Linked DNA regions of Daphnia pulex. The protein of the gene in region 2 purifies or fractionates together with the protein of the main gene of each other region. This does not show direct contact. Links are inferred from orthologs where the notes say so. Each region holds a gene or a part of one and is shown on either strand. Other genes may lie near its edges.

Evidence for each region.
Region 1: the proteins of FGFR1 oncogene partner 2 homolog (region 2) and programmed cell death protein 10-like purify together in Homo sapiens (affinity purification with mass spectrometry; 3 studies listed by BioGRID and IntAct, counting the BioPlex papers as one, with this or other methods). This does not show direct contact. The link is inferred for Daphnia pulex from reciprocal best matches to the Homo sapiens genes FGFR1OP2 and PDCD10.

The regions. Positions count from the first base shown.
Region 1 is NC_060025.1:9,340,464-9,343,695, forward strand, and holds programmed cell death protein 10-like, read right to left. Parts: upstream 2,339-3,232; 5' UTR 1,999-2,338; coding exon 1,978-1,998; coding exon of another isoform or gene 1,974-1,977; intron 1,913-1,973; coding exon 1,586-1,912; intron 1,528-1,585; coding exon 1,186-1,527; 3' UTR 827-1,185; downstream 1-826. Other genes in the region: probable RNA-binding protein 46, read left to right, coding at 1-60, 131-174; group XIIA secretory phospholipase A2-like, read left to right, coding at 2,536-2,779, 2,848-2,915, 2,980-3,151, 3,213-3,232. UniProt on the Homo sapiens protein: Promotes cell proliferation. Modulates apoptotic pathways. Increases mitogen-activated protein kinase activity and STK26 activity. Important for cell migration, and for normal structure and assembly of the Golgi complex.
Region 2 is NC_060024.1:10,465,403-10,468,651, reverse strand, and holds FGFR1 oncogene partner 2 homolog, read left to right. Parts: upstream 1-1,074; 5' UTR 1,075-1,175; coding exon 1,176-1,189; exon of another isoform or gene 1,190-1,324; intron 1,325-1,484; coding exon 1,485-1,638; intron 1,639-1,705; coding exon 1,706-1,957; intron 1,958-2,036; coding exon 2,037-2,162; intron 2,163-2,239; coding exon 2,240-2,356; 3' UTR 2,357-2,656; downstream 2,657-3,249. Other genes in the region: protein inturned-like, read left to right, coding at 1-69, 170-281; chymotrypsinogen A-like, read left to right, coding at 3,232-3,249. UniProt on the Homo sapiens protein: May be involved in wound healing pathway.

The DNA.
Region 1 (3,232 bases), on a different chromosome or scaffold from region 2:
CACAACAGGCGATAACTGGGTGCGCAGTCGCGTATGTGAATCAAACGATGGTTGATAACGGTACAAATACTTTTACAAGTGAATGCTGTTATCCACTCAATAATAAATGGATTTGTACTTTTGATCATAGGTGAAACTCCACTGTCTGTTCAGGTTGAAAATCTTTCTATTTAAATTCCCCACCTGGAAATTGTCCTTTTCCGTCAGTCTAGTTGACGCGGAAAATACTGATAATTTGCAGTGTAATCTAGAATTTACACTACGAGCTTTCTTTCTTGCTATGACGTCATTTTCTTGGTTTACTTAAACAACTTTAAACAATCATTGCTATCGTAATCCTCCGGAACTTGTTCGAGTAGATTTCTTCTCTACTTTTTGTTTTTGTTTTAAATGGCTTATTATTGAGACTTGCCAAACCGCTCCCAGTTTACAGCGTACTTTTTGTTATTGGAAGAAACTTTCTTCGTTTTTTTTTCCTTATTACATTTTACTTTTCAAGTTTTATTTTATTTCTGGCTGTATACTCTTCGTGCAGTTATCCCTTCGTTTATGATATTGCTCTCAAAAGCTACACATGCTTCCTTTTGCTAGTAAAACTGTTTAACAGATTGCTCTAACCAATGAAAACATTTGAAATTCGAAGGTGTTTCTTCAGAAGCTCAAAAGAGAAAAGATTAGAACATTTGAATTGGTCTGTATTATTCAAATAAAATCTCAACATTTATGTTAGACTGCGAAGATATACTGTGTATTCTATACTTTTTAACTATATATATAACACGAAACCACCGCATATATATAAACAGGCTTATAATTACTGCTTATAGAAAGTTCAACAATGTTTATTCTCTGGAATGTTAGGTCGGGCTAGGATAACATGCAACGGATTTCATCATTAGGAGCGGTCTAGGAGGTGGCGAGCAATAAGGATTTTGTGGATGATAAGATAACGAGAGAGAGAAAAAAAAATGGGGTGAAGAGATGCAGACAACCCCCTCAAGGGTACTCACACCTGATCTGAAAATGGACGGTGTAAAACGATGAAAGAACGGATTAAGTTGTGTTTTTATTTTTTGAAATATAAATATTCACGACTGTGTGTGAAGCACCACTTAAACCGCTACCGAATTGCGACGTCTCCGAGCATCGACCTTCACCGCAGCTTGAAAGATTTTTTAACAAAACTTATTCACAACAATCTTTAACGGTTGTAATAATGAAATTGGATTGCTGTATCAAGCAGAGGGCACTCAGGAAGACAGCATTTGCTTGTCCATCGCGGAAGTATTCTTTCAACGTCGTGCTGAACCGTTTAGAATACTTGACGAATTCTCGTTTTCGCTGTTCCAGGCGCTGTTTTCCCGAGCCGAATATTATGTAGACGGCCACTTCATTAACTGCGTCAAGCAGTTTCTTTATGGCACTTGCAATTTCTTTAATAGTCTCCAGAAAGGCTTTGCGGTCTCCAATCTCATCAGGGATTCTACTCAGGATCTTCTTCAAACCAACTGACTTCTTACACAGTTCCTGTTCAGTAAGGGGCTATCATGAGTATTTGAAATTGTGATATTTAAAGCGGAGCTACCTGAAAGGCATCTTCAGAGCGGTTAATTCTGTAATCAGGTGATTCTTGATCCAAGGCTGCTCCTTGAACTCTTAAAAGACTCTCATTCATGTTGACTTTTTGTGACAATTCTGCCTTTTTCATCAGTCCCAAAATGAAACTGTGGCAGAGGCCTGGATGGGCAGATTCGGCATTACTAAAGGCAGCTTTCAGCAGTTGGGCAGCACCTGGATCTTGTTTCTCCAAGTTTACCAGAGATGGGCCCACCAAAATAGGCAACACTAAAGAAGACAACATGCTTTCTTCTCCCATAGTCATCTTTGTAGAAGCTTCTGCCACTTTAATTACCTATTTAAAACAGATAATTAGTTGAGATACAGTTTGCGACTTTAAGCCTTAAAAAAGTCACATGCATTTGATAAATGCTTTAGCATGATGTTGGAATAAGAATAAGTGTCACTAGAAGTTAAATTCCATAGGGATATCGCGTAATTTCTTGAAAAATTGCACACACAACTACAACTAGCTTGTCTAGAGAAAGTAAATACGAGTGTGTTGATCGACTAGATCGAATGAGTTCAATCAAAGTAAGCCACTAGACAAGTGTTTGTACTAAACAAGGTAAGAAAACCTTGGAAAAGGAAACAGAGATATCCAGTGTAGTAATTTCACAGTTGGATCTAAGATAAACAAAACATATCACTTACAAATAAATAAGCAAAAGGAATAACGCTCAACCATCTGATCTGACGTACGTAGTTCTGTTACTTCATTTCAAAAGGCAACCTTGTTTGAAATGAGGAAACACAATGAATATATTCTTTATTGATTATTAATTTTTATAACTTAATGATTTTGACGTTTAAATTGAATTTTAAAATATTATTTGATTTCTTATATTTTTGGTGAAATAAATTTTTTGTTTAATTTTTTTACAGTCGTACTGGCAACGCTTATCGCTCTAGTTCAAAATGTCATCATTTCCAAGAGCAAGAGTTATCAGAATTCTTTTAGTATTCGTGACCATTTCTGCTTTATTTGTCGACGGACAAAAAAGTTATTTTGATGAAATCAAAAATGCAATGCACAACCTTAAAAGTTTTTTGCATACTGGGCTTGATGGGCTTGCTAAGTTGGCCAAAACGATTCAAGTAGTAGAACAGTTTGTTGACGCAACTATCGATGAAGATTGTGAGCCATACACGTGTCCAAAAGGTTAATTTACATAAAAAAACAAATTTGCTTGGATTAAAATATCTTCTTGATGCTGTTTCTTGTTGAAGGATTTATCAGAAAAGCAAATCCTTTGCACATACCGGAAAGTAATGGATGTGGATCATTTGGATATACGGTAAATGAAGAAATCCTTGTGTGTGCTGGTTCTATTTAATCTCTTGTGCTAATAATATCATCAGTGGAAAGAAGAGAAACTGCCTTTAAAAGAGTTAGAAGAATGCTGTCACACCCACGATTATTGCTATGATGACTGTGGAGCCGATAAAGATTTGTGTGACTTGCATTTTAAAAAGTGCCTCTACAAAGTATGTTCAAATCATGAAGAAGAATTATCATTGCTGTTCATGAAAGGTAATAATGTAATTTTTTTTTTTTTTCTAAAAATGTTAGTAAATGTCCTTTTTCTGTTCAGCCTGCAAAGGGACTGCAAAG
Region 2 (3,249 bases):
TGAATCTCCTCCCAGTCCCGGCAGCGGGACGAAATCGACCCCGATGAGCGACAGTTTTTGGGTCACTGGGTGCGGTGATGCTTTTTCAACTTCACATCGATCGATCTAGCTAACCCATTGTAACTTTTACTTTTTCTTTTTGTGCGTGGGTGTCGGATTTTAATTTTAGGAGGCTGTTTCTATCCCCTGTTCATCGGGAGCTGTTCATTTGCCACCAAGATGGCGTAGCACAGGATATTTTGGATCTTGCCTTCCATTTAGCATTCGGAGCCGTCCTTTAAAATAGATTTTCCTGGATACTCATCGAATTACTACAAAAAAATGTGTTTTCCTATTATAGTGTGTGCTCGTTTCTTGTTATTTATTTTATCCGCATAATGTGTATGCCAGGGCATGGCCTACTCTATGGTTAAGGCCTGTAGACTTGTATCCACTGCCATGAAGGCGAGAGGCGTGGCCAAATTCCCTAGCCCTGTCCCTGTGAGAGCCAATCAGGCGAAAAATGGAGGTTACAACTTCGCCATCTGGCGTTTTAAGATGTAAATCTCGTTGTAAAGTAATGAAGGCGTAATAACAAATTGTTAGATGCCACGAAATGCGTTTTTCCTACTAAGTTCAACAGCAGATGTTGAGGAAAACGACTAAATAGGATAAAAAGGACATGTGCATAATTCCAGCAAAATTTTTCGAATAAATTATTCCGTGAAACACAACCTTTGTTATAAACTGCAAATTAAAAAGATACCTCCCAACCGAGAATTGAACGCCGCGCCGTGGTGTGGTAGCTGACATTGCTATCCATACGGCTACCACTGCTATGAAACACTCGAAGAAAAATTTATTATATCTAGCTACCTAACCATTCTAACGAGATAGCAGTATTGAACGACAGATGGCGAAGTTGTAGCCTCCATTTTTCGTCTGATTGGCTCTTGCCCGGGGAAAGGATAGGGAATTTGGCAGATCCTCTCGCCTTCATGGGGCAGGATTCAAGTTTACAGGCCTTAACCATTAAGTAGGCCATGGCCAGGGGAAGCCTTTTCCCGGGCGCACCTTTAATTTTTCTCGCCAGATGTCGCCACGATCGAATGTTGATTATTTATTTTTTCATGAGATATTGTAATCTGTTGTTTGCTGATATATTTCGAGTTGATGAAAAGTAAAACATAAATCGAATGAAATACGAAAGGTAAATCTCTATCATGTCCCTTTTATCACCGGTTTGTTGTCGTGATAAGAAAATCAGTTATTTGCTCGAAAAGGGTGTCGGGATAACAACCAAGCAAACACGTTCGTAGTTTGCGTGGGCCCAGTTATGAGATTTGTAAGTTGTTGAATCGACATGGAAATCGATGAAAACTATCTCTTCGATTAACTGATCGATGCACCAATGTTTATAGTCTGCTTCAGATGCCATAACTTTTTTAACTTACAATAAACTCACACTTACATACCAGTTCTGCTGTTTTTCTATTTCCATGTAGTCCCAAGCAGGCAAACAAAATGTCTGTGTCTGTTCAACAAATTCTTGCTGATGCCAAACGACTAGCTGGACGCCTGAAAGACCACGACTCCTCTGCAGATTTGCTTCTGTCGCAAGCTCAGGCAATGTTTTGTCAAGTGGATGCCATGAAAGAGGTACACGGTTGGGGGTTGGTGATAGCTTGTGGCAGTAATTTTTTTCAAATTATTGCTTCTTCTTTAGTACCAAGAAGAATTGGTTGAATTGAACACAGCTGCTCATCAAAGACCACATTTGGATCTCATAGCCAATATTCAGCAAGAAAACCGACAATTGAGAGCTTTAGAAAATGAAAACAAGGAACTCAAGTCAGCTCTTGAAGAGCATCAAAATACTCTTGAGCTTATAATGAGTAAATACAGACAACAAATAAGCCGTTTACTTGAAGCAAGTCACACAGAAAAGAACTTGGTTCATCTTCTCCCAGACACAAGAGTAAATAATACCTAATAATTTATTAATAATCTTACATGGCATGAGATTAATGAATTCCTTATTGTGATGGTCTATTCAGAAGGCTGAAGAACAGGCAGAGAAAATCAATGACATGATTGGGGTCATGGAGACAGCTATAAAGTTGGATGACAGTTATGTACAAAAGGAAATTGAACTGTTTTCAAAATTGACAACTGAAAATCGGGTAACCAGAAGAGCTGTTCGGAACGTCTTTTAAATTTTAACGTGTAAATTTCAATAATTTTCATCATTCTTATGCAGGGACTGAAAGAGCTTTTGGACATAGCAAGTCATAACGGGTCATTGAGAAACTCTCTTCTGGGTATTAAAAGCGAGGATAAAGAGATCCAAGCCGATGTTTCTTGTTTGAACCCTTGATCTCCGAAAAACAAAGGAAAATCAAATAGCGTTACAAAAAAACAAACATACGATAGATTCGTTAATTACGTTCGCAATATATAATTAATTATCTATACCTTAAAATCTGAAGATTCTTCGTCACATGATACTTCTCCTCTATACTTTGTCCTCTACGCTTTCCTTGCACGATGTTTCACTTTTATCCCGTGTATTAATTAAAGTTTCAAATAACTCCATAAATTTTTTTTTTGTGTTCTAAAGAAATAACTAGATGTTGCTTGGCTATAGGTTGATTGCAATAAACTCGTGTTTCATGTCGTTGACTCTCCTGCCAGCGTACTCATCTTCAATCCTCACATTTAAAACCTTTTTCAACCCTCCGAAGGTCACCAACCCGCAAAGTCCAGGTATGCTCCCCCGACTAATATGTTGTTTAAAATTGTGGTATATAGTTTAAATACTCGAAAGACCTTGAGAATGGTATACAACTGGACCAAGTTTTACCAAATTTGTGTACACAAACCAATCCAGGTCAAAGTTTTCTTTTATTACTACAGGTAAAAACGGACAAAACAAAATTACTCTCAACCCGAGAGCGCGAAAATGTATACGTGTTTCAGTTTATGTGGAAAGTTCTATTTATTCAGATCGACAGTGTCCTCGTTGCGTTGTGGTTTGTGCGCCGAAGAAGACAATCACCCGCAACAGAAAAGTATTTTGCAAATGCAAACAGTTTTCAAATGTTGCGTGAAACCGCGTAACTAGTGACGTCTTCACCGCGGCACTTGAGTCAATATTAATGTCCTGTTATTAACGGCAACCCTATCCACCGCATCACTCGGGAGTCATACATATTTATAGGAGCCGGATTTAGATTGGCAGTTCATTACAACATGAACGTTTTATTCATG